2 linked regions of the Coturnix japonica genome follow. The protein of the gene in region 2 purifies or fractionates together with the protein of the main gene of each other region. This does not show direct contact. Links are inferred from orthologs where the notes say so. Each region holds a gene or a part of one and is shown on either strand. Other genes may lie near its edges.

Region 1 (15,553 bases), on a different chromosome or scaffold from region 2:
CCAGTCCGTTCGGGGAAAGACAGAGATAAATAGCTGGAACTGCGTGACACGCAAATAGGAATGTGAAATAAAAAAAATAGGGGAAGAGGGGGGAGGGAAGGGGGGGGGCAGAAATACCGTAACTGGGGATTAAATACGGAGCAAAGTTGTTTGCTGCTGTTCTATTGGGGAGCTGGGCGAGAGGAGCAGAGCCTCACGGCGTGAAGTTTTGGTGCGTGTCAAGAGAACTTGGAGACTCTCACGTTGCCTTAAGTTCCCCGCTGGAAGTTTGGGCTTTAAAGTGAACCTTATTCCTACTTCCCTCGCTCTCTCTCTCGCTCTCTCACTCTGGCGGTTAACAAATAAGAAAGGGGGGGAGGAGATTGATGTATTTATTTCTGTAAAAGAGTAAACTCACTATTGCAAGAGTTCATCCGCTGCATCCAGGGGTAAACCGGGGCGGAACACTTTTGCTCCTCGCTTTCTCCGAACACAGTTTTGCTCTGCGCGCAGTCCGACTTGCGCGGCTCGGGGGCGAAGGGGACCTCGTCCAGGTTGGGGGGGGGGCACGCAGGGTCCTTCTCCCTGAAAAAGCCGCCGGCCCCATAGTCACAGGCGGAGCTGCGGCTGTAGGCTCCGTTGCTTTGCTGGTAGTAGGGAGAGGAGGCATAGCCCTTCTCCTGGACTCCCGTGGCTCCATAGGTGCTGGGGTAGTGCCTCAAAGGATCCGCATAGCCCGAGGGATATAACGGGATCTGTCCCAGGAAGGGCTCCTGCCCCGCCGCCAGACTCACCGGGAAGGTCGAGTTGACAAAATAAGAACTCATTGGAAGGAGCCTGCCGTCCTTTCCCGGCTTTATGATTTGTTGTGTTTTATAGTCCAAGTGGTTTAGCTATTAGTAGTATATCGGAGATTGGGTTTTAGCTGAAGGGAGATGGCGTGGTGCCAGCGAGGGACACAAGGAAATACAACCATCTGATCATGGGCTGACCAATAGCAGGCGCCTGAGGTTGCAAAATAGCACCCATGAGGAGCTGAGATTGCACCAGGGACCCCAAGAACAAACCATCCACCCCCTTTTCCCTCCCTTTTAAACAGCAGAAATGCACCCCCTTAACCAAATATATAATATCTGAGGAAAGAAGCGTTCCCGGCGCTCTCAGAGCTTCAGAAATAAATAAACCGCCCCCCCCACCCCCCTTCCTCCATCCCCCCCCTCCACTTCAGCACCGGGGAGTGAGAGCCGGTGTGTGCGGATGACGGTGTGCACGCGGATGTATTCACACACATAAGCATACAAATACCTGTCCGGGGGGTTGGGGGGGGGGGGGGGGAAATAAGGGAGGGGGGGGGGAGGAGGGAAGTTAATTGTTTGCATTCGGAAAACTTTAACCCCTGTAGCCCGCGAGCCGTCCGAAAATAGCCGAGCGCTTTTCTGCCGTTAAAGGAAAGGAAAAAAAAAGGGGGAAAAGTTTGGTGTTCGGGTGGGTGAACTTCGCAGGGAGCAGATCCCGCCGCTTTGATTAACTCAGATTTCCGATAAGGGAGCAAATAAATGCTGACAGCTTATTGAGGTCCGTTCTTTAGCTCATTACCATAGATTTGCATCGTCTGTTAAAGAAAGCTGCGCTCCTTTCACCCAAACCTTCGCTTCTGGCTTTTTGTGTCTTTTTCGGTTTTTTTTCCTGCAAAAGCCGCATCTTGGGGGAGATGAATGGAAAATCGAAGTATTTCCTTTATCCTTTGCAAAATCCCGCTCTGCTCCCGGTCCCGTACCGCATTGTGCCCTCTTGCGTTTTTTTGTTAATACCAAATCCACGCCCGACCTTTTATGGCCAAAAGGGAGCTCTGAGTTGCTCTCAGAAGCTGAGTTTATTGATCGTCACCGATCGGGATTGTTTTACGAGAGGAAAGCGGTGGCGTGGAGGGGTTCTGCCTCGGAGACCCCGCGGTGCTCAGCTCTCCGAGTCCATCCCCGCTGCAAAACACCTCTTCCTTTTTTTTAGCCAACTTCAAACGCTGGAAGCCCCTAAAAGCCACACTTTGCTCTTGGGGGTCGCCTCTTTCATTTATGGATGCATTCAGCCCTTTATTCCCCCCCTCCATCCCCCCCCTACACCTCGGATTTTATAGCCGGGGATGAGCTCCGCAATACCTGGTGCGTCCCCCCCCACCCCCCCCCACCTCAGTTTGCTCCTCTTATCAGAAGTGAAAAGCCAGAGAGATCTTACAGGGGAAAAAAAAAAAAAGAAGACAATAACGATAAGAATAGTAATAATGAAATCCAGAAGTGCCACTGATCGTATGAAGGACTTCTTTCCCCATCCGAATTTGTAACCATCTGTCTGTCGGTTCTTACACGCGGTGAAATGACACACGTTATCATACGCACTCCTCTGTGCCTGGATCTGCGGCCGTGTGTGCTACAGATCTAGAATTACATACATTACAAGCTCACTGTACAGCTGCCAACTCGGCTCTCTCTGACGGAGCTTTAAGTATCTACGAAAGTCGTATCTTATTACGAGCTAATTTATTTTAAACATCGTATTTACAGGAGCAAAGCCAAGATTGTTTCATGCCATGGCTGCGATGAACATTTCGCCTGAAACGTAATCCTTATAATTCAAGGAAATAACATGCAGAGGAAGTAGTTTTCCATCCTCCACCCCCCTCTCTGACTGATATCTCTTATATTTGTTCTTGCAGAGTTTCCCTCGGTGCATGGCGTGGACCCAAACTTACGTAGATCGGCTTTATTGGTATGCGAGGAAAACAAATATGGGATTGAAAGATTGAACGATGGCTGGAGAAGAACGAGGAGAAAAAAAAGCATCGGATGAAAGCCTGAAGTTCACAGCTTTGCAGGAGCCGCACCGCTCAGACATTTGATTAGAGTTACGCAATATTGATAGCGCTACCAAAACAGCGACTGTCTGACAAGATCGGCTCCGCATGCAAATTCTGAGCTAAGAAATGGGATGTCCTGATAATTCCGTGCGTGAGTACATCTGCTGAAATGTTTGCTCTAATATTTGCTCACAGTTCTCACGGTTGATGTGCGAATAAATGCCTCGAAATAGTTTGGACACCCCCTCGCCTCCCTCCCCCTCCTTTCCCCCCTCGGATTTGCCGTAGTAAAATACTGCTTATATTGTGCACTTATGGCTAAAGAAGGTTATTAGGGCGGTTTATATGTCGACATCATGTAAGAGATCAAAACGCATTGCAACTGGCCACTTGCTAATTGCTTGTTGCTGACATTATAGACGCTCTATAGATGAAATGAATACATCTTGCTTCTTAGGAGAAGGGCGAAGCCTCTCTTGGCCCCCGCAAATGGGGAGAAAAAGGAGAAGAGAGGACACGATTTCCAAACCGAAAAATAGATATATCCAAAAACATAAAGAGTGTAACAGTGTTCATCTTCCGAAGGGTCCGGCCAGAGGAATAATTGGTTTGCCACCTAAAATGAATGCGAACACGAAAGGGGACCTTACACTATGTTGTATCCTAGAGAACCGTACCTTCAGCACGGAGGTGGTTTCTATTCCCATGTAAATGGCTCTGGCAAAATAAAGGGCTGAATAAAGAAATGAATGGAAGGTGGCTTATGGGCATGGCCACTTCGCAGACACTCTCCTGCCTTTCCCGATATAAATCTGAGACCTATTTCGCGAATCTCTTTTCTTTGGCCGCCTCCAGCGCCAGCCAAACCGGGAGGGACACAGACACAGAGCATAAAGGACTCAGCAGCAAGCTCGTACAGTAGCCCATAAGTTAGGTCTCTCTCTGACAGTGCCCATTGGCATATCTTTATTCAGCCTTTGGCCTCATCTCCTCAAAAACAGGCTCAGAGAAGGGGCAATAAAGAGGGAAAGTCGCAGGAGACGCCAGAAGGTGGTAGAGAGCGTTTCACTGAGCGCTGGGAACCCGTCTTTGCTCTCTGACTGACATCACTCAGCTGGCAGGGCATCAATAAAGATAAAGGGACGGATTTACAGTACGCACAATCACGGCTATCTGCCCAGGAAGGTCCTACTTTTCTCTTGCTTCGCTTTTTCTGGCCAGCAAACGTCATCCCCACAAAGCAGAGGGAGGCAGATAGATGAGGGGATTAAAACAACACCCAAATATTTCGAAATGCAAACAGAACAGAGCATTTCTTGTGCTAGAGTTAAACCGCCTAAGAACTTGGTGGAAAGTTCAGTGCAGTTGGTTCCAATAAAAAATGAAACTCTTTTTTCATGTGGAGCTGGAATTCCCGATCCTTCTGAAGTGAGAACACAGCGGGGGTTTCCCTACCCGGGGACTTATTGCAGCCATAAAGTCAAGCAAACACCACGAAAACACTTGAAAAAAACCCTTGTTCCTGGAGTCAGACATAGAAAGCAGTTGGCAGCAGAGCAGCCTCTCTGTAATGCTCAGCCACAGCCAAATCACATCGGGGGGAAACCCGACAGAAGTCCTCTGTGCTCCGCTGTTACCGTGTTTAAAACAATGAGCCCTGAAGGTGTAAAATAAATACCCCCCTCTCCCAGCTCATAACCGCCTAAATCTGAATTCCCAGCAATTTAAGTTTAATTTACCTGACTTCCCGTGCAGTGCGTAATAACCTTGTTAATGGGATCTTTGAAAAGAAGCAATAATAATCTACCATTGTTCCATTAAAGAGTGAGGCTAATTATTAACAAAAAAAAAAAAGAATGGTAAATGTTAGTGTTTGATCACTGCCTAATTGCATGTGGGTGACATTTGGCAAGAGGGGGAGGGAAAAGAAGGGGGGTAACATTGGGGTGGTCAAATCGCACCCAGGCAAACCCTGAGAGAGAGGGAAGTGTGGATGGGATATCGGTGAGCAGACGAAGGGAAAAGCCGACGCGTATCGTGCAGTGCGTAAGGCGAGTGCTGCGGGGTGTTGGGAATTACAGCATGGAACGGTTTAATCAAGGCTGTTGCGGGTCAAAAGAGAGAAACTTTCCACCACCCCCCTTCCCTCCCCTCCTTTTTATTTTTAACATAGGCACCGATCATCTCACTTTCTTAGAGAAAATGTCACCAGTCCAGACGTAAACAGTTGCCAGGAAACTGCATGGTAGAAGGAGAAAACGAGAGGGAGAAAGAGAGGGAGAGGGAGGGAGAGAGAGAAACCTTTTAAAATAACAGGCACGCATTGTCCCTTCAAAGCCCGCAGTAACTTAAAAGTGATTCGTCGTCTGCCTTTACTCTCTGCTCCTTCCCCAGCAACCACCTCCATTCTGTGTACACGACTTGACATATCTTTTCCAGACCCCACCGAAATGACCACTGGAAGCAATAAATAAATAAAAGCCCCTCTGCCTTTTATGATTAGCTGAAATCCCACCTCGCCTGTGCCTCGTACGTCATTACTGGAGCTCAGTTCACAAGATCTCCGCTTGTGCTCCTGCTCTGCAAACAACCAGCTATCTTTCGTCTTCCATGTGTGTATACAGATAGATAGATGCGAGCTTTTATGTTTATATATATGTGTGCGTGTGCATTTATGATAAATCTCTGCACATATGGCAAGGAACAGACACAGAGTTGTACACAAGCAGTGTTCACACATCGGAGTAGGCACAGCTCAACATACGGACATACGGGGTGCACGTAGATCTTATTGTAGGTGATCTATTTACATATATACATACATCCCAAACATTTACATTCAGACGCTTTCAGGCTACGCACGCAGCTTGTAGAACCCTCCAAGCAGAACACCAGGCCTCGGGGATGCAAAACACTATAGGGAACCCCTTGAAACTCGGAGCCGGGCCTCGCAGTGGGGCACAGAGGACGGGATCCAGAATGTGCCCCCATCCATCCCCTCCGCCCCCCACCTCCTCGCCCCCCGCCCTACTGGGCACTGCTGGAGCCCCCGGGGAGCGCCGCCCGCCGCCGCCGACGGTAGATGGCAGCAGACGGCGGGGAATGGGCGAGCCCCGCGGCGCGGCGGCGGCACCGGGGGGACGGCACGGCGGGGAGCTGCCTCCCTTCTCCTGCATCGCGTTTTATTTCCATCGATGAAAGAGGAGGGAGGCTGCCAAAGAAGGCAACGGCGAGGACCCCCCACTCTGGGGCACGCGTGGGCCGAGGGTTAAAGCTCTCTGCCCGCCCCGAGGTGAGATATCCCACAAGTGGTTGCCCTCGGAGGGTGCGGAATGATCGGCGTAAAAAGGATTTGGAGGAAGGTTAATAAATTGTTTGTATTATTATTACTATTATTATTATCATTTGTTGCGCTGGGGAGATTTAAAAAGCAAAAGGAAACGAGTGTGGAGAGATTTAGACGTAAGGGAGAACAGGCAGTAAACCAGCGTTAGCTTCACCCCAACGTGATTAATGAAAAATGTAACAGGTTTGGGAATAAATAGCTGTTAAAGATTGTCTTTCTGTTTATTATTTCCACGGCTTGCGATCATTTACTCTCGTCCGCACGATATTCCAGCACAGTCAAGTTAGCGGAGATAAATCGTCACGTCATAAAACGGTTTATGCTTAAGTAATGAATCTCATCTTAATCTCGTTGCACACACACAGGCTCCTACAACATCATGTTTAAAAAGCACCTCGTAACAGTCACCATTAGTACTACATTCAACCACCCGAAAGCTGGAAAAAATGAAAATCACATTCAAAATGACGCGCATCTCCGGACAATTATTACCCTTAAGGCAGCGTTAGGAAATCAGACAGCACGGAGGGGGAACAGCGGGGGGATTTGCACAAAACCTGGCTGCAAGCTGTGGGAAAGGACCAACACAACGTGAGGCTGAAACCCTACCCGGTATTCCGGCATGGAAAGCCATAAAGACCCGTTAACACTGCAAAGCGCAATTAAATACGAGGAGGTTTATTGCGCTGCAACGTCAGCTTCATTTGGGAGTTTCACGAGGGAGGGGGGGGGGGGGGGGGGGGGGGGGGGGGGGGGGGGGGGGGGGTCGCCGCCGTGGGGGAGGGGGGGGGGCGCCGCCACGTCGCCGCGCCCTCTCCCCGGCTCCCCTCCGCCGGCCGTGCCCGGCCGCCCGGCGTCCCCGTCCCGCACACACTCACTCTCCAGATAGTCCTCCAGATACAGCATGGCGGCGGCCGGGCCAGCGCCAAGGGGCTTCTCGCTAACGGGGGGCTCGTCCCTTCCAATATGGCGCCGCCGCCAACAACACCGGCGGCTCGACTCAGCGAAAACAACATTGGCGGCTGACGGCGCCCGCCTCGGCCGCGCCGCGATTGGCTGCACGGCACCGTGACGCGCCCGCGGCCTGCGCTGCTCTGCGGCACCACGGGAAACGCAGTTCGGACGGGAAAGGCCGCAGAACTACGAGTGCCGCCATGCACCGCGAAGGGGAGGGAATGAGGGGGAGGGAGCGGGACGGCGGGGCGGGAGGAGCGGAGCTGGTGTAGGGCGGAGTGGGATTCAGCGTGTATATGAGCAAGGAAAGGACGTGTGCGCTTAAACCACGTCCAAGTAAAAACCTGCGTTTGCTTTGTGACAGTTATTGGGACAACCGGGGTATCGGGACCTCCTCACAGAATGGCCCCGGTTTGGAAGGGACCTCAGGGATCATGAAGCTTCAACCTCCCACCACAGGCAGGGCCACCAACCTCCACATGTATTACTGGACTCACCCTTATGACTGCTTGTATGCCCCGGTTTTAATGCCTGGCGAAAATACTATTTAACTTTGCCCAGCCTCTGAGTAGAGTCAAGCAGGTACTTAATTTCTCTATCTGTAGTCTCCTGTAGACTTCGTTGGTACTTTTTATTTCTCAACAAGTGGAAAAACTGTAACATTTTTCATTTCTGCCAATGTTAACTCATATTGCATAGTCAAATGAATAACCACACTTAATTCAGTAGGATAGTGGTACTATAATGTCTCCCCACTTACTTTGTCATTTGTGTTCCACATCTCTTAACTCCATCTTTTTCACCTTTGTATTCCACTTGGTCTTCCTGTGTTTCTTCCAGATCCATCCTACCTTGTACATGTTTTAAGGGCTTTTTGTATTCTAGGGTCACACCATGTAGTTTCTTCAGTACTCTGTAACTGTTTAATCCAGTATTTTCAATCCTGTAATCCCTGTGTTTTGTTTCTTCCCCCTTTTCAAGAACTGATTGTCATTGGTTTGATTTGAAGGAATTGGGAACGAGCCAGCCCATCCTTGGCTTACATTCCAGATCTCAGCTCCTGCTGTTATGTTCCTGTGCTCTCTTATCACAAGAAAGCCTCTCAGCCTTTTACATACAGAGATTGCTGACCACGGAGCATAGAAAACCAAACCCATTTGCTTTGCCAGGGAGGTGATGGAGCCTCCTCCTCTGCAGATATTCAAGACCCACCTGGACACCTACCTGTGCAATGTGGTGTAGGGAACCTGCTTTGGCAGGGGGGTTGGACTCGATGATCTCTAGAGGTCCCTTCCAACCCCTACAATTCTGTGATTTGTTACTGACAATTTGCCTATTTGCACAGAACTTTAGAATACAGTGACAACTGAGCAGCACCAGAGGAGGGTGCAGCAATGACAGCATACAGCTANCCCCCCACCCCCCTTTGGGTAGGGGAGGAGAGGGAGATAGGGAATAAAACAGGGAAAAAAAGCAGCTTGACAAACGCATTTTCTCAAAGAAAGAAAAAAAAATAAATTAAGAGAAACAGGTATTATTTCCTTACCTTTTGACGTCCATTTCTGTGGTATAAGCAAAATATATAGGGAGAGAGAGACAGCGTTTGCTTATCTGTTAGCTGACAAATATTGTCCCAACCTGATAGCCGTCGATTGCCTCTCTGACTTGTGATAGCTTCTTGCATTTCTGTCATTTGCATAGAAAATGGAGTAACTTCCCTCTTTGAAAAATGATAGCCGCCACTCGCTCCAGAATCTCCACTGTCCCTCCATTACTACTGAGATTCCAAATCGGCAGGCAAATTAACAAAGGAATTAGCAAAAAAAAAAAAAAAAAAAACCAAAAAGGAAAGGAAAAAATAACCCCAAAACCCTCTTTTCCTACGTGTGTGTGCGGATGTGAGAGCCTATGTGTGCGTGTGGATGTGTGTATAGGCGTCCCCCCTCCCCTCTCCCCTGGTTTAGACCTATCGAGCCTATACACAAAAGTAAAAAAATGTAAAGAGGAGAGAGCCCTATAGAGGACACTGATCCGACCCAAGGTGCAGCGGACAGAAGAATGGTGCAATATAACCACATGGGAAATAATAAAAAGTTCATGTTCACGGTTAGCAGTCCACATGACCGGCTCTGGCCAATCCCAGAACCCAGCCACTCATAAAGTTCTATCACAAAGTTGTAAATTTTCATAAAACAACAAGGAATTTATTGCATTTCTTCATGACCGGTTTAACAGCAGTCTTTTTCTTAGCCGCCATCTTTTTTTTTTTTTAAACAAAAATAAAAGAATATGAAAAGGGGTTCGGGGATATTTTCCCCCCTTTGGTTCTATGGAGGGGGGTGTTGGAGAGAAATGATGGAATAATTCCTCGTGTAATAGGCTATGAACAATAATGACTCCCCCGAAATAAAGAGATTGGGCTTGGGTTTGGCTTTTAAACGAGCAAAGGCACTAAAACAGTGGGGTTCGGGGGAGACTTTGGACGTCTCTTTATTTTTCAATGCAACGGGGACCCTTTTTTTGCTGCAAAGGGCAATTCGCAGATTTCGGGGGTAACAAAAAGGGAAATAAAGGCGGACAGCGGTGATCGTGCCCTGGGTAAAACCGGGGTGGGGGGGTCGGGGGGGGCTGTGCTCAGGGGTTCCCCACGGCCGCTCACCCTACAGGATCCGCTCATTTCCCCCCTATAAAGCGGGGACTCCCATAGGGACACACGGGGTGCGCAGTTCGGGTCTCGGAGGTATCGCCATGGCACACACTTCGGCTTTTCCATGAGACCCTCCTCGATCCCTCTTCGATCCCCTCTGCTTGAGGCACAGCTCCGTGCCAGGGGGGGCTGGGGGGGCAGGGGAGGGGGGGGGGCTGTTGGCTGCAGAACGGGGGGTTGGGGTGAAATTTCTAGACAGCTTTCTTTTTTTCTTTCTTTTTTAACCTCTCCAAGAGATCTCACCAAAGGATTCACCAAGAAAATGTGGAAGATTTCCCTTTGTTTTCCCTTCCTTCGAGCTGGATTTCCAGTGTTCATATGCCACCGTAAGTGGCACCTTTTACTAATGGGCTTGCCGTAATTAGCAGATGCAGCCTGCTCTGCAAATCGCTCTTATGGATGTGGGCGCGCGGCTCCTTGACGTGGCATCATCCCCCCTTTTTTTTTTTTCCCTGGGACCTTCTGCTGGATGCCCCGTTCGCCTCCATGGGGCCATCCGTGGCGGTGGGTGGCGAAAATGGAAGGAGGGGAGGAAGGCGGAAAGCTGCCATTCCCCAACCAGAAGCCCTTTGCGCTTCCCCGGCATCATCCTGAGCGTTCATTTAGCGAGCAAGTTACGCGGAGCCTCCGCTGGAGGAATCCGCGTTGTGCCACGCACTCTGTAAATATATAAACGGGAGGGGGAGAGCGGCGGGGGCTGCTCCATGAGCAAGTGCTTAAATTTGCTCGCTTTTGTTTTGCATTGTTGATTTCCTCCCCCCCCACACGCCCCGTTTAATTGCTTTAATTTCTTTGATGCGCTCTTTGATGCTAAACATTATTCGGTGCTAATGAAAAGAGTTCCAATCCGCAGTAAAGTAATTGAAGAGCGGAAGGAGAATCTTTAAAAAGGGAAAAGAATAAAGAAAATAGTGAAGGCCCGGCTCAATAGATCGGGGTTTTTTATTCCTGTAAATTGGTTTAAGAAGAAGAGAATTACAACGAAAGGTGATTTGGACGCTCCTGGCCTCTCTGCGTTCCTCCTTCGGCCGTGGCCAAAGAGGGAGGCAGATGAAGCGGCCGCGAATTTCAGCGCTGCTCATCGCGTTTTGGCCGAGTCTCTCCAAAAGAATAAAGCACTCAAGTGTTGGGAGCGATGCTGAGATGAAAAAGGAGCGCAGGGTGGTGATGGGTCGGGGCAGGTTTTAATATAAAAGGGGTCTTTTAATAAACACATTTGCTCTTATATAGTTATAGATAGATTCTAAAGCCTTGAGTGGTGTTCTTAGCGAGGACAGGGAATGGAACGCAACGTGGTTCGAGAAGATTGGAGATTTCCTTTTTATTTCGAAGAATAATCAACACAGACGAGGGAAAAATCAAAAGCAACACGTCGCCATTAAATACTTTGCTACTTCGATATACAACAGTTTACGTAGCACAATATTAACTCCTTTTGTTTTTTGTTTTTTTCTCTCCCAGGGATTCAACAAGGAGGAAATCCGGGTAAAAATATACACAGACAAAACAGCCTTGCAACGTGGAAAGAACCACAGAGGTTACAGGGAGAAGGCGTAATAATAATTCCTATTATGTACAGGATTCTATATATGCTAAGTATCATTTGCATTCAGATTTTCAGGTCACATCTTCTAAATTAAAGGTGCTAAACACGACCACGTTACTTCATACCAAAAAAGTACACAGCGAAGTACAAACGGAGATTTACAAATTACTTGGACTATAGGAAGACTCACATAGAAAAAAATGTGTCTATTCTGACTCTAAAGCCACATTTAATAGGTAGATATTCATTCTATTGTACAAAAAAAAAGACTTCGATATAGGTAGTATTTTTTTTTTTGTCAGTGTCAGGAAACACAACGGATCATTCCTAAGTTTTTAATTATTTATGCACTTAGCGTCGATCTATTTTAGTATACAGTCTTTTCTGGGTGGTTTTTCCCCCTTTCTTTTTCTCTGTTCCCGTGAGCTTTCACGTTTCCTGGATCCACCTTTTGTCCTTTTCATTCCTCCTCGTCGTCCTCCACGTCTGCCTTTTCCTGGCTGCTGGAACCGGAGCAGGCAGTTTTATTCTCTTTTTTCCACTTCATGCGCCTGTTCTGGAACCAGATTTTGATCTGTCTCTCCGTGAGACACAGAGCGTGGGCGATCTCAATGCGTCTCCTTCGGGTCAGGTACCTGTTATAGTGAAACTCCTTTTCCAGCTCTAAAACCTGCTGCCTCGTGTAGGTCTGTCGGCCGCGTTTTCTGTCCGTGCCTGGGAAGGAAATGCAGATTAGGATCAGTTAGATTTGAAGGGCAGAGGGGGGGTTATATTTTGATGCCCAGCAACACCCGTCCTCCTTAGCTCCACAAAAGGAAGAGCACAAGCTGATCCTACCTTTCTCCACATTCTCAATACCAACTCCCTGCTCCAGAAGCTTTTCCCACTTCTCCCTCCCTATTCTCGGCCCCAAAACATTGCGAATTTAATCGCCCTTCATCTCGGAGAAGGGAGCGGTGATTTTCCGCTTGCAGCCCCGCTGTGCCTCAGAGCCGAGCGGGATGGAGCTGCAAACTTCACCAAGTTTCCTGCTCTCCCAGCTCCTGTTTAATTTCTGTTTAAACACCACAAACTTCGGATGGAAGAGGGATAAATACACAAAAAGAACCCAGCGAGAGCTGCGCCCGCTACCTCCACAACCCCAACTATTTGTCCTCTCCTAAAGCTGTCATCGGGCTGCTTGCTTGGGAAGGTGTGTGATGGTCTTAATTATTTCAGGGGATGTTTTTGGGCACAGCGGTGGCTTCTGCTCGGCTGTGGCTGACGTAGGGGCTGCTACCTCCGAGTGTGCACAACATGGGAAGAGCTTCAACCCTACCGCAGCCTCTGCGCTGCTATTCCGCTGTTTGGAGAGGGTCTGTAAGGGGCCCGACCCCGTAATTCCACCCCCCCCTCTCCAACCCGACGTTTCCAGAGTGCAAGTGGGAATAATGGTACAATATAGCCCTTGTGATCCCTCTCTATTTTCTGTGTAAATGCGACGTCTATCTATAGTATAATGTATTCTTTCGTGGAGAAGTGGGGATGGCGGACAGCAGCCCTCGGCCTCTCCTCCACACATTCCATCGGACTCCTCTTTCCTTCCCCCCCATCCCCCTTTTCTTCCCCCCCCTTTTTCCTTTTTAAAGGAAGAAAAGATCCAGTCATTAAAAGGAGGGAGGGGGGGGGGAAGCAAAATAGCCGTGCTAGCTGTAAAGTACGAATCTGCAGGTCGTGGAATGTGGGTTGTAAAATCTGCTGAGGGAGAGCCATAAACTGCTGCTGAATAGGGATGACAACTCTATCTCTGCACTCTGATGAAATTCCACAACCGCGATCGCACAGTGGGCATCAGACGCTGGAGGAGGGATCCCTGAGGTCGAATTTCTCTGGTTTTAAGCACGGCAGATCACAGAGCATCCAGGTTTGGGAGTGAGGGGTCCCCCCGTTTGCCCTTCTTCCAGACCCTCCTAACGCTGTTCCTCGTAGCGTCACATGCTGAAAGGGGTGGGTGGGTTATGGGGGGGGTTGTGCGGGGGTGGGGAGTGGAGGGCTTCTTAAATCTAAAGCCGGATAAAAGGGGAGACGAAGTGTTTACGACCAGAAATATTTGGTCTTTGATAAATCAACTCTGAAACTGAATGAATTATGGAGCAGGTAATGGAAAGGACTGACCACCAAATCAGTGCTAGGGTACCTCCTGCCTGTGAAGCCGCCCAGCATTGGCTGCCCCTCTGTTTTCCTTTCCCCTCTCTATGCAGGAGGTTGGCCCGCACTCCCCTCGCCCCCGAAGTTTACTAACACGACACTTTCCGAAGATTTGGCTGCTCTCAGGGATGCTCTCAAGTTGCAATCTGGCACCGGAGCGGCCAGAGACATGAGCTCATGCGTTCTCCTCGCTCCCAGGCAGGACAGCTCTTCCCATTCCCGTGCCAGGGTCACTCGGGTATAAACACATCCACGGGTGTCTGAAGCACAGGGAAGTACCCCGAGTGGGGCCCAAAGTGAAGGGAATTCCTGCCCCAGGAGCTTCTTACCCGCATCCCATGCACTCCCGTGCGATGGGAACGGGATGTTTAAGAAATGTTACTTGACACTGAGACGGAGCAGGGCTGGGGATGAAGGCAGAGCAGAGTCCTGGCGTGGGGTTCCCTGCTTTGAGATCCTGTCTGGGGTTATTTGGAAGGTCACCCCGCAGTCCCTGGATCCGTCCCTACAGCCGGATCCCGGCCGGGATGTCAGCGTTTTTATTGTAAACAGGGCTTTTAATTGAGCCAAGGATGATGTGTTGCTTTTTCAGATGGCAACACGCTAGGCTTAATCGCGGTGTCTGGGATGCGGTGGCGAGGGGCTGGCAATGGAAGGGTTTGCAGCCTGAGAGAAAACAAAACGAGCTTGAGAGCACCTCCCATCAATAGTTTATTTCGGAATCTATATCTACATCTACACAGGGGTAGCGCGATCTTCATCCTGTAAATATAGGAGAAGAAGGGGATGGCCATTATTCCTGCAGCTCTGTCTGTCCCCTCTAAGACAAACTGCCTTTTGCACGGCACACACACAGCCCCAGCACCACTAATAAATATTTAAAGCTAAAAGGATGGCTTTATGGCGGGGGTTTCTCTCTCTCTCTCTCACCCTTTTGAAGCCGGAGATTCGTTTTCGGTGAAACGTCATGAAAGGAGATGGGGACAATTCCCCCCTCCCCCTCCGCCACCCCCCGCGTACGCCATAAAATAATTTACACTCCCCCCATCCCCCCCCCCACCACAGTCTCCTTTCTTTAAGGAGGATTGCGCTTACCTGTGCTCCTCATCCAGGGGTAGATGCGGAAGTTACTGTCGCTTTGCAAATCTGAATCCCTCTGGTCCGTTTTGTTGCAGTTTTGCTTAGAAGCATCTCCCGGGCACATCATGGAGAGGTTTTGCTCAAAGGGGGAACAGTGCATATTGAAAGAGCCGGGCTCCAGGCCGTACCCCGAGGAATACATGCCGGGGGGTTGGGGGTGCACGGCGCTGCCGCTGGAGTACAGCCCGGGCATGGAGGAGGCGAAGGGAGGCGTGGAGCCGGCCCCATAACCAGCTCGTTGGGTGTTGGAGGCGAAAGCGCAAGAAGTTTGCTCGGGAAAGACTCCGGATGGGAAAACCGAACTTGCGGCTTGATATTTAGAAAATAAAGCATTCGCATAATACAATGAACTCATAATTTGGCCGGGTGATTTGTAGGTCGGGACGTTTTAGTGTCGGTTTTACGAGGTACCGTGATATATTACGGAATTAGAGTCCAGATTTACACCAAAAAGGAGCCCTTTTTCCTCCCGGCCCATGTGACGCGCGGGCACGTGGCTCCAGCGGCGCCAATCGCCGCCCGCTCCCTCCTCGGGGGCAAAAAATTGTAGTGCTGCTGGATTTATAAAATATGATAAATAATTGATGCGATATAAAACCCTCCAAGATCTATGCTGGAAGGGGGTGAAATTGTGCTGGAGTCGATAAGCAACCTGTAATCAGTTTTCAGCTGGAGGACCGAGGGCAGAAGAGAAGGCGAAAGGGAAAGGGGGGTGGAAAGGGGGCGGGGGGGGTTGGTGAGCAGCGCTGCTCCTCTCGGTCTCTCTCTGGTGGAGGAAAAGGAGCGGAGCTCTATTTATCCCTTTATTGATCCCGTCGAAAATTCCCTCCTTCGCTTCATTTC
Region 2 (15,124 bases):
GCTGTTGGACTAGTTGTCAAAGAACTTGCTGAATTCACCTGAGAACCACTGCTGTTCTGACTGTTATGGCGAGGCACCATGTGAGGTTTAGGCGAATTGGTAGCTCTTGCAGGGCTCAACGGCCTAACAGGAAACGGACCCCATGTGGACTGAGCTGGTGGGAAAGTACCTCCAAAGTGCGTCATGGGCAACCGAGGCGGACGGATTTGCTGGAAAGTCTGAGCAGCGAGTAAAGCATGTGCAAACTGCGGAGGAGGATATGCTAATGGAAGAGAGACTTGGAAACCAGGTCGCACATTATTCACTGGATTCTTAATGGTTTTGTGATTAGATGCTGAAGAAATTGCAGGCACGGTGAGTGCAGAGGCAGTTTGAGATGTTGATGAAGCAGCTACAGTGGTCACTTTGATTCCCACAAGAGAACTGTTAGCAGCTGTAGTGGCAGCAGGTGTTGATGTCCCTACTTTGGAGTTTGCAGATGAACTTTTCAAGCGGTTCTTTGGAATAAGTTCATCGATTTCTTTATCTGGATCCTTAATCAGAGCATTAATCAACTGTGTGGCCTGTCTTGTTGATTCTGTGCCACCCCTGAACAACAAAAGGAAAGGAAAAGGGAAGTGAATTTTGAACATCTACACACAGAGATGTACCTAAAGAACAGGTTCCTGCCAATCTTTCTGTCATACTAACAGATTTAAAAAAAAAAAAAGTGAGGAGAGAGAGAGGCTGCCTTTCTTTTTCGTTGCTGATGGTTATTTAAGAAACTAAAATTGAGTACTCTAACCCAGAAAACACCATCCAGTTAGAAAACTGACTTATCTAAATAAGTGGGCATATTTAGAAATGTAAAAGTCTTTTGTACAAGTGCAAACGTACAAGATTTACAGTTCATCTGTTTCTGCTACCCTATTTGTCTTCCCTGTCCAGAAGCAGCATCTGTGTCTTTCAAGGAACAATCCCAGTTGAACAGATTTGTCTATACAAATTAGCATGTTTTGTAATGAAAAATGTTCATTCCTCACAGGAATAAACGAACAGAATGGTCTGCTTACCTTATCGTTATTATTCTATCTCCAGTTTTGTCCTTCTGTTTGTCAATGTCTATGTGTGCTCCCGTGCATTCACGTATAGCATTGATATTACATCCTCCTCTGCCAATGACTCTGGAAATGACAGTTGATGGAACAGAAACCTTCTTGGATCTATAGAAAAAAAAGAAACATTAGCTGGGAAACGCTTCAAACAGCATGAAGTAATGGGCAGACTAGCCAAAGTCTGTAAGGAGAAAATTAGGGAAAAGTTTAGCTTACCTTCTTACAACTTCCTTCCATCCTTCTTCCCTTTTTTGACCACGTTTAGGGCTAGCAATGGTAAGCTTTCCATTTGGAGAAGAAAGGGGGGAAGGACCGGACTTTGTGCAAGTAGACAAGGAATTACTTGTCACTTCATTGATGACTTCAGACAACCTTTAAAATAAATTATTATTTATTGAAATGCAGACTAGCAAAGAAAATCAGAACAATGTTTTCCACTAGGCCCAGTCTGAAGCCTGTCAAAACTTATTTCCTCTTTTAGCACATCAAACAAACAAAAATAAAAATGCACAAGCCACGTTAATAACAACATGGAGTTAAAATCACTTAAAATTATCTCTGGTCCCCAGAAACCGTTCAGTAAAACGTTATTGTGGTGTTCCCAGACCACCCACTACAAAACAGCAACACTGCTTATGAAGGCTAAAATGGTATTTGTATTCCAAGAGCTGGAATTGACAAGGAAGAAATTCCTACTACTCAAAGACATCTTCCATCAAAACAGCAATCTGTTAAGATCTGTTAAGAATTTGCATTCTCACAATTCCCATACAGAGAATGAAATGGTACACCACATCTTGAAATAAGTACTTCTCACTAGCAGTTAAAAAGCTTGAGCATATCTAATTTGTACCTCCAAACTGTTTCACGTTCCAGAACTAGCGAAGTTCTCTAATTAGCTCTACTCATTTTACAGCTCTCAAAATGGCAGAAAAGTACTTCTAGTTTGTCTCTGTCTCAAACCGTTTTAAGTGAAACCCTGAGCAGCCTTGGGCAAGATCGCACAAAGCAAAGTAACTACCACGTAGCTCAGAAGTACTATACTAAGAGGTGGCTTAAATTGAAATGCCTGCATTTCTGAATAACTTAACAATTCTCTATATTTCTGATCCACACCAATGAATCTTCCTTAAGAGCTTACTACTTATTTCATGTTAAATTTCAACCATTATTATACTCCATTATTATACTCCTCACACACCACTGTGGCTTCATCCACTTCCTAACAATTGATTTAAATATGTAAGCCCATGCAGATAGTGGTGTAGTTTCCAAATGTAATGCAACAATCACTTTAAATGGTGTCACAGCAACTTACTTTATGGATGATTTGCCAGTAACTGCTTTCCTCTCATCCTTCGGACAAGTAACAAGAACCGATGGTTGCTTTTTGTTGCTCTGTGTGTTAGTAACGGCTGTGGAAGAATGATTGTCACTTTTGTGGCTGCTGTTGCTATTGCTGCTTTCATCGCTACAGCTGGAAATCCTCATGTTGTCACTATCACCACTTTCACTAGTACTGCTGCTCTTAGATTCACCATTTACTTTTTCTGGTTGGTTATAAGAAATTGGGAGCTGGTCATCAAATATGATCTGAACATTATCAGAGGCTACTTTGTTTTTCCTGTTTTTCCTTTTGGAGCTTGTTGTGGTGATGGTATTATTCCTTTTCCCATGAGAACCTGCTAAAGTTGTCCAAGTTGCAGATATGCCTATGGTGGTCGTAGTGGTAGCGCTAGGAGGCTCCATTGGGACCTCTGGATCATCTGGTGGAAGGAATATAAAACAGTACTAATTTAGATAATTCAAGAAACCTTGTATGGTTGTGTGCTCCAAATAACACTTATCAAGTTAAATCTTGCACAAACATCTTTAGAAGACTCCAAGAATAAAGCAGAGTCTCTAACAAAGCCAGTATTTGTACAACTACTAAACAAGTCATGCCATCGAGCTGCTTGCTTTGTTTGTTATAACTCATCTAGCATTTCATTCTGATCTTCAAATAAATGTAGCAGAAATTCATTAAGTGTGAAACTAAATTCAAGCATGGAAAGACAGAGACAAAAGCAATTACAGGAATAACAAGTACATGAAACAACAGATCAAAGTCTGTCACAAGTATTTCCCTTTCTTTTAGCTTATCGGCACAACCCAGCAGTCAGTGAAGACCATTTCTTAGCACACCACCAAAGATGCAGCTCAACACCACAAGATACAGAACAGCCAATATTTGGATAGATAGGACAACATATGTAGAATTTTATGGTTGCCAGTTTGTTTTTTAACCGGATCAAAATTATTATTCTGTGTGTGAGGGAAAAAAACACAACTTGGCCAGGTTTCAGTTAGTAGGACCTGGAAGTAAAAACATGCCAAAACATTTCCTGTGGTTAAGTTAACCTGCAACTCTCACTGAACCTGCTGTCACCAATCCTTAAACATAACAAGACACAGAAGTAATAAGAAGGCAGAAATGCAGAGTGATCTATTGGTTTCAAGTAAACTACTAAAAGCTCAGCATGTCATAAGACGACTATACTCAAGTTTTGACAAGAAAAGCCATTGGAAAACTAGAAATGAAAACTCAAGAGGCACATTTCACAAATAAATCAAGAGGTTGAAGTCACCTTCAGCTTTTAGCTTCTCTTTCTCCTGAGCAGCTTGAAGTTCAAAATTCTCTTTACTTTTAGCTTCAATTTCTTCTAATTTTCTTCTTTGTTCTTCTTTTTTCTTCCTCCGTTTCTCCTTTCTTTTCTCTCTTTTAGCAGCCAAAGCCAATCTCCTACTTTCTTCCCGTAGCTAAAATTAAAGCACATTACAGTATGTTTTCCATGCATTTCAAAAAAAGCAAATGCCATTTTTTCCCTTTTCCTGAGAAGCTGAACTTGCATTTTAGACTAACACATTTACAAAGTCAGCTTAACTCTGTGAGCTATATTTTTACATTTACTTCTTGCAAACAGATTGTTTTCCCATGTTAACAGAAGGTTGATGTAGAAATAGAGAACACCATCTTAAATGAATTTTCCAGAACATGTTTTCAGGATTCTAAGACTACTACATTTGTCTTAGCAGTACTGCCCCAACGCACTCATTCTCCTTTCAAAGGTTAGGATGTGCCATAGTTTTAGCTGGGCTGGATATAAAACATGCACTCATTTGATGACACATTCCTACTTAAGTCTTTTTTTTTTTTTTTTTTTTAATAACATCTCTACTACAAAACTATAGTTTCAAGGAATATTATCCACATATTTTGTTTTACTTAAGACAAAAGGGGATTTAGACCTCGAAACCAGACCAATGTCACTGCAAAATGCTCACCTACTGCATACTGGACAGAAAAAAAGTTCTTCAAAATCCTTTTTTGGTACAGTATTATATAGAGAAAATATAGTTATATCAGAGTACCTTAACCCAGTTTCTCTTAGTAAAAGTCAGAAGGGAAGGTACAAACATAACCTGAACAACCAGATGTTCAGCTCTAGATACTACAACTACACTGATTACATTTACTCCTATACTTCAGTACGGACATTCACAGGTCTTCTGGTCTTGAAGGAATACAAATCTGTAATCTTATCAAATAAATATTCCCAACTGCAAACCCTTAACTTGCCTTCTCCAAGTCCAGTTCCTCTAAAAGAATGCTTGCATTTTTGTTGGCTTCGGCAGCCTGTCTATCTTTGGCTTGAACAATTGATTCCATACACAAGTGGCACTTCTTCAGCATCTCCTAAAACAACAAAGTACATCAACATTCCATTTTAAAAGGTAAAAGCACACATTTAGAGTATACACTCTCAAGCTTAGGCTACTAATTTACTGATTTCCTTACTTGCAAAGAAAACTTTTAATGAAGAAAAAAAAATAAACATTTTCCATTACTTCCAGTGCAATACTATTACAAAACATCCATAATTATACCAAGTTAGTCTCTCACTGGCAAATAAGCTGCAAAAGTTTTATTTACTGATTTTGAGTCACGAGTAGTAAGTGACATGGCACCATGACAGATGAAATTCTCCTTCCATTCTTGAGTAAGACATGATCCCAAGTCCAAACTGTTATCAATGTAACATTTCCTTCACCACAGCTTGAAATTTCCTTTTCATGCCCAACTCCGCAAACTGATTCCCAATTAACAGGTAGAACTTGTAGTCAATAATTAATATCTCAGCATGCTTAAAGTGGTACAAAGACAGTTCATAATCTACACCTAATGAAGACAAAGTGTTCATGAAACCAAAGAAATAGTCTGAGAGGTGAAAGAAATGCACAAATTGAAAGGCCGTCACAAAACAAGGCTTAGCTCCCCACTTTCTCCCTGAAACACCTGGGAAATATTTTAACATTCAAGTATTTTAATACTTATAAACCTGTATTAGTTGCACGGCAGTAATTACTTTTATTGGGTGTTCAGCATCATGCAAGTGACCAGTGGTCACAGTCACTGGCAAGAACATACACACCACTGACAGGGAGAACACCTGAAAACATACAAGCATTGTTGAGTCACAGTATTGTTATCTTACAGCCTTACCTTATCAGTAATAGTTGCTATGTACCTCATACATTCCGAATCTGATGGAAACTGGTTTACTTCTTTCACTAGGTAGCGCACCACTTTTACATGACCCTGAAGAAGGAACAGACAAAGCAATTCAAGTACCTGTTGTCAAGCTGGCTTTACAGCCTAATTTTCACATACTTCTATCTTTCCCCTTTGACAGTTTTCCAACATCTGGCTCTGGCTACTTACAGTTATATATTCCTACAGTCATTAGTAATTTTTAAATTACTATTGAACTGGAACTACACTCAATTACCTCAAGTCAGGCCAGACTAACTCAAAGTTGATTTTTAAAACACTCATCCAATCTTGCATAAGAATTCATTTTAAAAATCATTTTCCTACTTCTGTTGCATATTCCACATCTCCATAGAGAATACTGTAATTTTCTGTTCTCAGATCCATGAAAAATCATAGTCAGTAAAATGACCATAAAGAATTTCTACTAGAATTTAACAAACATCATGCAGGTGAAATGCACACCTATTCTTGAAGATTCAATGCCAAGCACTATTAGTAGGTCACATCTTTAAAGACACAGCTTATCAGTTATGCTCCTGTTTATTCCTGATAATAATGAGGATGACTGAGTCAACATTTATAAAAACCAAAGGTAAACTTCACATTCTACCTTTCGGAAGGCTGCCATAAGAGGAGTTATTTTCCTGTTATCAGCAGCATCCACATCTGCTCCAGCCTGAACTAGCAACTGGACAACATCTAGATGCCCTCCATTTGCTGCCAGCCACAGTGGAGTATTCCCCTTCTTGTTACGCACATCAATGTGGGCTCCTCTACAAAAGCAAAAGTTCAGTCAAAACAATGGAGAAGATGTTAGTTACTTGTGTCAACAGGACTTGCAAAAGTTCATGCAATGCTTAAGAAAAATAGGCTAATTCAGCACTCGCTTTTACATAAAACATATGCACTCAAAGAGAGCTTCAGTTTCAGAAATATTTTTTAGATTCTGATGCTGTCAAAAGCCTACACTCAGACTACATGGATTTTTAATACTCTGAATCATATTGTTTGTCAGTTGGGTCTGAAGCATTGCTAATTACCTCATTAACTTCTATCCATTAGTACACTGTATTCCTCAATAGCTTACTGAGAACAACTTGTAAAGTTGTGAGTGCAAGCCAACAGCCAGTACCACTACTTCAAGAAACAATTATGCTTAGCGTACTTTGACCAACCTCAAACAGATGAAATCATTAAGACTTGTGTTTTGTGCACATCTTCTGCTTTTCGATGACTGACATTTAAACTGAAGGCACCAGTGATGCAACCACAAGAAATATCACCTTCACATGAAATGCTCTGAATGTTCTCAAGTTCATAAAACAGGAAAAATTCTATCAGTCCACACAGCCAAAAGTAAGTACTCAAACACCAAACACAACTTAGTCTGATCGCTCTCACTGAACAGAAAGCATAATTACTAATGGTCTAACAGAACTCTTCTCATTCCCTATCATGTAGTGTATATTGCAACACAGATTAGAGATCGTTTCCTTTAAGCACTGCACTTTCAAAAATACAGTACCTGCTAATAAGAAGCTCACAGAATTTGTAGTGCCCTTTGTCTGCTGCAATGGTTAAAGCTGTGTCTCTTGAAGAGGGTACCGGAGGAGCATTTACATCTGCACCTTTGTCCAGCAGAACTCTGCCTACTTCTGCATATCCACCAGAAGCAGCTTCCATTAATGGCGTGAGACCAGTCTACAATAAACATGCAAGAGAATCAAGCAATTTGTTTGAAAGAACTGGGAGTTGGGTTCACTTAGAGGACTGATTTCTACTTCCAGTAGCATATTTCAAGTCAGCTTTACAGCCCCTCCTGACCAGTTTTGTAATAGACTACCAATATTTCAAAGGAGAGAAAATATACACCTGTACAGAAAAAGAGGCACGACAGTGCATAGGTGTCCTGCTGCTGCACAGTGTTCAAGAAGGTTCTTTGCTTGCTGATGTCACAGCATCTCAGAAATAGCACAGTCAACCTTACACAGTTGATGATCAGCATAAGCATTGCTAAAAAAACCTGCAACACTTTTGTTTTTAGTCTTCATTGAGAGGCTACACAGCAACATCCAGAAAGTGCCTGGCTAGGTGAAGGGGGACACATTAACTTCTGACAGACATTCAAAATCCCCCCAGCAGTCAGACAAGGAGAAGAGATCAGACCTTAAGTACAACCTAGGTCAAGAATATGACTTTCTAAATTCATTAAATACTTGGAAGTACCTCTTTTTTGGAGAGCAATTTGCTTCTTACCTTAGCTCTATGTTCCACATTTGCTTTTCTATCAAGGAGCAGGCTAACCACTTCAGTTCTCCCTTGGAAACAAGCCAGAGTTAGTGCTGTATTTCTATTGGTCTCTATCTGGGCATTTATATCAGAGCCCATGTCCAGTAATAACTTCACAGCAGCAGTGTGGCCATTCATGGCTGCCAACATTAAGGGAGAAATGCCCAATTTGCTACCAGTTCTGAAAGAAGAAAAGATAAAGGAGTTCAAATCACAATCACATTTCTGAGATTACTTCAACAAAAACAGAAAAAATAGAATATTTAACAAGAATGGAAGACAGCAACACAGCAACTATAACTGAAACCATGGAAGGTTCTTGTCAGCAACTTTGGACAAGTATTTATATTTCAAAGCATTGCAGGCATGTTGGATTTTAACTACTGTAAATTTGACAGCATTTCTTACGAGGAACTTCTGCTTGAACACTTATTTGACTTGTGCAATGTATGGTTGAACTACTTCATGTATGCAAGAGGCGCTACACAAATGCAAACACACAGCAAAATCTTTCTTTAAATTACAGATGAGAAACAAACATGCACACTTTTTTTTTATTATTTAACCCAGAAGTAATTTCAAACTTGCAGGCCAATCAGAGAAAGGAGGAGTATTTTTCTTAACCTTTAATCAAAGGGGACTAATGTAATATGACGCATGGCAGACATTATCAAAACATACAGAAGCAACTGGAAGCTAAGTGAGCATTGAAAGAAGCATATTCAAAAACCTTTCCTTCCTACCTGAAGTCTACTACAAATAAGGCAATTACACAGATAATTATTTGTTGTGTAAGCACAAGCCAACCTGCTCAATTGAGTTGCCCAGAAAGCCTTTTGGAAAGGGTAAAGACCATGAAGAAGTGAAAAAGGAACTTGCCTGGAATTGATTTCTGCCCCAGCATTTAGCAGAATCTTGATAATGTTCACATAGCCACCAGAAGCAGCAAGGCTTAAAGGTGTATAATCTGAAACATTCCTGTGCTCTTTGTTTGCACCTCGAGCTAGAAGCAACTCCACCACCTGTAATATTTTAAAAAAATAACATACAGTTTTCTCTCAGACTTTCAAGTCTGTCTGATACAAAACTATTCAACGCTTTCAGAATCCTATATTGTACTGTTAACATCTTTCAATGTAAGGACAGCGGTTTTCTTCATTTCCTTCACTCTACTCTTGTCCTCTGTGAAAGCTGAGACTAAAATGTTTTCCCCCAGAATCAAGAACACATAACTGTCATTTGCAGCTGCTCTTCTGCAGCTGCTGACTGTCCTCTGTCCCATTTAACATCTTCTGAATGGGGCTGAAAAACAGGCCAGAAGGTTGACAAATTTTTGTAAGATTTTGTCTAGGAAAATGTGAAACCATCATCTTCATATGCGACAATACCCTGCACCAGATTATATGGTTTCCACTGTGGCCTTTGCAAACCAAACAGAAGCACTTACAGAACTACACACTTCAAACTTGTTAAGACCATTATCATCTGACTTTTTCTCAAGAACACAGTATTCCACATAACATTTAAAAAGACTTCCTTTATATTTACTTCTCATCAATCATTTGAAAAATGTCTTAGACTAAAAAGCCCAACAAAACAGAAGACACCGGAGCCATCTACAGTACTCATATTCTACGCAGAACCAACTATAACATCCTCTTGGCTCATATATGGAGCTATTTCATAGCAAACTCTAACTTTTCAACAGGAACACTGATCCCATTCACTTCCACATTCACATCCATTTATGCAGGTAAAAACCCCCTAACTGGCCAGGAGTTAGGAGATCTGTTTCACAGGTCTGGTCCAACTTATTGAAATAGGAAAAGGATTTTTTCATCAAACACTGCAATAAGAAACTTCAAAAATGTTAACTCTTTGTGCCTTTAAAAAACATCCTGAAACAGCACTGTGTAACAAGTTACTATGTTCCGTAAAATAAAAAACAGACGATACGTAATCTACAGCCTGCTCTTGAAGACTTAAAAGTTTACATCACCTCTTGTCTGCCTCCTGAACAAGCCAAGGACAAGGGAGTGTCCTTTGTTCTCTCCGACTGGGCTTCGATATCAGCTCCATTATCAAGTAAGATTTCAACAACACCCACATGGCCAGCTGTAGCAGCCAAGATAAGTGGAGTAAATCCTAGAACGAAAAAGGATGTTTGAAGAATCCACATTCATAACTTCAAATTAAGCAACTTATGTTAAATCACCAAGAAAGTAAGCCTAAAAGCTTCACACAAAAACTATATTTACTGCATATTTATTAACTACGTTACAGTGAAGACAAGAGTGGGTCTGTATTGCCACAGTGAGATAGCTACCTTTCTTGTCCCTATGTTCGATATTGGCTCCTCTCTCTAGCAGTGTTTGTACTAGTTCTTCATGGCCACCAGCACAAGCAAGCGTCAATGCTGTGTCATGATTACTCTCAGTCTGAAAAAGAAATCATTAGAAATATAAGTTCTTCCTTTTTTCAAGTACAGCTTCTGTCATGTTGCAAATACAACTGCATTGATAATGAAATAAAAACTATGAAAACTTAAGACCTATTTACTGGTCACCTCATCTTTCTTTCAAGTTCAGGTTAGAATTCTACCTCTAATCTGCTCTCCTGGAATATTATAAAAATATCCCTCAAGAGCCGATTTCAGTGTAAGCATAGTTTTAGTTTTGCTTTACTCTATTATGACTGAGGGCAGTTGGCAACCAAACTCAGTACTGACATGTGCTGCTTGCTGTCTACCAGTTAGAAATCAGACACATCAGGTTATGGGAGGAATCTGACCTGCAGTCACAGCAGAAACCAAGCCAACTGCCATAAGCAGCTGAACTAACTGGAACTGTTTTCCCAGAGATTCCTCTCCCCAGTCCACAATAATCTCCTGTTGCAGTCTACAACAATCCATACTTACTCATCTCCACACTGCTTGTATCTTAGCCCTATCACCTTGGTCACTTACTGTACAGTCTAGAACTATGCACATAAAAATAAATATAATGGAAAATAAAAAAAAGCATTACACGCTTCCCCCCCCCCCCCCCCCCCCTTTGATGGCTTGACAGCTCCAAGTCAACAAATAGCAGGTGCTTTTAAAATGACTTTCAATACAGATACATTGGTGAGAGGGAGAACTCTCATCAATCATTTCTGAAGATGTTTTAGCAATACTGTCATACTTCTGTCAGGCCTGGGGGGTCACTGGCCAACAACTCAAAGCACAACCGTGAAAAATAAGTGTGCAAGAAGTTTTTAGCCTTGTTTTCATTTTCAGAAGTCAACCCCAAAATACTTAATTTTTTCTACCCTATTTCTCATATTCACTCACTGAAGAAATGAGAAATACAAACATTTAGTGATGTACAACAAAGGCTCTTCTCTTTTGTTCAGCTAGAGCACGAAAGAAACTGGGCTGCAATTCTCCCAAGAGTTGTACAGGCTTTCTAAAATCAGCTCATCAAGTCTCATTATGCAACAGAGCTGTTCCCTATAAATGAATTATTCAGAATACAGAAAGAAAATAGCTTCACATGTGCACTGCAGTGACAGTGGAAGGCTTACCTGGGCATCAATATCTATAGCAGGGTAAATTGGTAGCATGGCTGAAGGAGAAATGATAGGACTTGGAGTTGGCGTCTGAGGCTGGGAGACAGAAGTTGCAATGCTGTGGGTAGGAGTGTTTGACATTGCAGATGCTCTTCCGCTCACTGCTGTTGAACAGAATAATTACAATTAGTAAAAGCAACATTGGGTAAGAACTACTCAAATATTCCAAAATTCAGAAATGCGCGTTTCTCCACATATTTAATCTACTTTTTGAATCCTTATAACAGTATCAGACTGCTAAATAAACACGTACAAATCAGACTGTCATGTTTTCTAAATGCCCAACACAAAAAAACCCCACAAGCATAATACTTTTTTTTTGTTAATATCAAAGACCTTTCCTACAAGTCAGTCATTATATGTACCAGGAATCCCATACCTTCAGAAGCTGGACTGCAGAACAAGGTGAAGTAACAATTATCTATGTAATTTTTCTTAAAACAGCTTAAGGATTCTCATGTAGAAGTCCACCTACTTTCCTCTAGTCCCCCACAAACATCACAGAGAGAAGCAGCAGAGCTAGCATCAGGTTGCTCACATAGAAGAGTTTGTTGAAACCAGTGAAGAAGCAGCTTAACAGCCATTTTGCAGAGACTTTGGTCAAAGACATTAGGATAAGCAGCATAAGGTAATATCATCTTACAGTTGATGACAGTATTCTGACCTGACACAAAGTCACACGTCCCTAAAATTCATCAGTATAATAGTTACAAGTACCAAATTAACTTGACGCTACAACAGCATTTGGGGGAAAGAAACTCTTATTTTCTATTTGTTTTTCTTTAAAGGAATCTAAAGTTTTCCCTCCTTTTCTTCCTTTTTTTTTTTTTTTTTTTTTTTAAAAACAAGTCTCTATCAAGTATGAGCAGCAAAGGAGGAAGTGAACAGTTATAGGTTTCTCCCGTCAAGTTCACAGGACCTGTAGCTGCAAAATGAAAGAAATATGGTTTCCACGTTATCAGCATTCACTGAATACACTACACCGAGTAATCTTAAGGAATACTGAAATAAATTCCCTTTATCCCCAACTTTTGATGTCCCATTTATTGTTCAAAACGATTTAGTCATTAGCCATATCCCACGTTACCAACCATACTTATAGTTCCTATGTTCAGTTGGAAGGGGTAACCTTTTCAACAGATGCCATGCAAATTTTACCACAACGTGCCAAACTGTGTACTACTTCTGTGCAAAGCAGCTGTGGTTTTAGTACATTTTTCCTTTTATTTCTGGACTTCCTATGACAAATATCATTAAAGAAGCTAATAAATGCCATTGAAAGGAAACCAAAACATCAACTTAGAGCACAAGAAGTATGCTTCACCTTCTCCTTAGGACTTCATCATGTCACAAGCTGTGCTGATCTTTTTATCAGAGCACCTTTTGAAAGCTGCTCTCATCTTAGAAGAAAAAAAGAAATCACGCTAGGTATGAACTAATAGAAATATGCTGAGCCAAAATACTCTTGATAGGAGGTCAAAAACCGTGGCCTAAGGGAGCTCAGTGTTGTACAGAATAAGGCACTGTAATCCAATACCATCCAGTGAAGGTCGACTTTGACCTCATCTCACTCCTTATTCTTTCTGTAAAGAGATATGACCTAATAATGTAACAACCAATTTGTTAACATTCTCTGTGAAACAATGTGTGTGAACTCCTGCTTCCATCTTCACACGTACAGTCATAATGAATAATTTAGGAAAAAAAAAATAGCAAGTTTACCTTCTTTCTCCAAGTTAAAGGAGAAAGCTCAATCATGGTAAAACAGTCACAAAATTATTAAAAAAATAAATAAATCATCACGATCCTCAGCACTCCTACCCAGTTCAAACGGGCCAGAGAAAGACGGTAAAATCATCTGGAAACTAACTACACTAGCTTAAATCAGATGATATAAAAGCATGATCATCAAATAATCTACACACGAAAGAAGTTTACCCCGTGACTGCAGCACATGGTATTTGCTAAGATTTCTGCTGGAGCCCTGATACTGGGGCTGGGGAACACACACAGTATTACAGCTGTCACTATTAAACGTTCATATTTAAAAATAGTAAAATAAAAATCGAGCTAATTGGGAAAGTCTCAAAGAAGACATAAAGGAAAGACATATTTAAAAGCCCATATCCCTTTCCACAAATCATACACATAACGGATAAATGGCTTTATGAATGATAACAGAAGAGTCCATCAATATGTCTGTTGACTTATAGTTCTCATATTAAATTCATCTGGAATGTGCTTCAGCAGTAACATAAATAATACCATCCATAATCCTAAAGTACTCACTGAGACAAGGTATTACTCTTTATGGCTAACAATTTGGATTATGTTTCTTAGAATGTCATCTATGCAGAGTTCAAATTTTTCATCAGTGTGCCAATGACAACGAACAAAATCTTTACTGAAAACTTCTAGTTCTTGTTTGGACACAGTAAGCCAAATGTTTTCATGCTAGTCTTGAGCAGTGAAACACGACAACCAATGAGCTTAATCTCAAGTTAATAAACAGCTAAACCAGTTCACCTGAAACACTGCACTTCAACATTACACCCTACTTACTGTATGGCTGGGACAGAACATCTTCACAACTAGGTCACAATTACAGCATTTTAAGTATATCTGTGCTTTAGTTCAGTACAGTACCAGCTACTAATTTTATTAACACCATGACAGAACTTACAGTTGATGTGATTCTTATGTATAAATTTAGGTAGTTATAATTGACTCAAATCAGAAGGAAGCTTCTAGGAACTAAAATATCAAATGTTTCAAGGCCCATGAATTGATAATCTTTTTTGTGGGATTTTGCTGCTAGAGATCATAGAATATAGAGCTGTTTGAGTTGGAAAGGATCTCTCTAAAGGCCATCTAGATCAACACCCCTGCAAAGGTAGAGACACCTACAGCTATATCAGGTTGCTCAGAACCCTGTTCAGCCGCAACACCTTGCACTACACATCTTCAAAAACCCCCACGTACCTTAACAAAAGTTTATCATTAAAACAAGGTTGTTCTTTTTGTTTTTTGTTTTAAATCCTTTGCACACTGTTTAACATTTGCTGTGTTTTCATTGAAGAGTTTCCTAACAAACCCTTTCCAAGTACTTCTTCTCGCCAGACTTGCTGGAAGCAAATGACCTGCACTGACACCTGAAGTTAAATAGCAAACCCTTTGCTTGTCATCAGGACTTGTACCTAAATATTCACTTTTCAACTTGCCTTATTTCTTTCCAAATAAAACAATGTAGAACAAAACAAACAAACAAACAACCCACCAAACAACAACAACAAAAAAGCCCACTAAAAACATAAGCCCCCCAAACTCAGAACTCTTAAGTCGGTATATTCTCTGCTCCCAAGCAAGCCCCATAGAGTCCTAATAACACTAATAAGCTTCTCTAGCAACAAGGAATTACACTTTAACATTCCAGAGGTCATGTAACAACTAAGCACTTTACTACAGCAACATTATCTTATCCCAACCTCTAATACCAGCATTTGCACACCAACTTGCCTTAAACAAGCACTTAAAACTG

What was found.
Region 1: the proteins of ANKRD17 (region 2) and HOXB6 purify together in Homo sapiens (co-immunoprecipitation; 3 studies listed by BioGRID and IntAct, with this or other methods). This does not show direct contact. The link is inferred for Coturnix japonica from reciprocal best matches to the Homo sapiens genes ANKRD17 and HOXB6.

The regions. Positions count from the first base shown.
Region 1 is NC_029542.1:3,157,259-3,172,811, reverse strand, and holds the start of HOXB6 (homeobox protein Hox-B6), read right to left. Parts: upstream 8,791-15,553; 5' UTR 8,677-8,790; intron 4,519-8,676; exon of another isoform or gene 2,690-4,518; intron 985-2,689; 5' UTR 807-984; coding exon 398-806; intron 1-397. Other genes in the region: HOXB7 (homeobox protein Hox-B7), read right to left, coding at 11,844-12,097, 14,666-15,065. UniProt on the Homo sapiens protein: Sequence-specific transcription factor which is part of a developmental regulatory system that provides cells with specific positional identities on the anterior-posterior axis.
Region 2 is NC_029519.1:45,248,758-45,263,881, forward strand, and holds part of ANKRD17 (ankyrin repeat domain-containing protein 17), read right to left. Parts: intron 11,691-15,124; coding exon 11,542-11,690; intron 10,416-11,541; coding exon 10,304-10,415; intron 10,123-10,303; coding exon 9,977-10,122; intron 9,000-9,976; coding exon 8,857-8,999; intron 8,159-8,856; coding exon 7,945-8,158; intron 7,390-7,944; coding exon 7,214-7,389; intron 6,462-7,213; coding exon 6,299-6,461; intron 5,734-6,298; coding exon 5,638-5,733; intron 4,831-5,637; coding exon 4,714-4,830; intron 3,894-4,713; coding exon 3,722-3,893; intron 2,861-3,721; coding exon 2,413-2,860; intron 1,467-2,412; coding exon 1,311-1,466; intron 1,203-1,310; coding exon 1,053-1,202; intron 589-1,052; coding exon 1-588.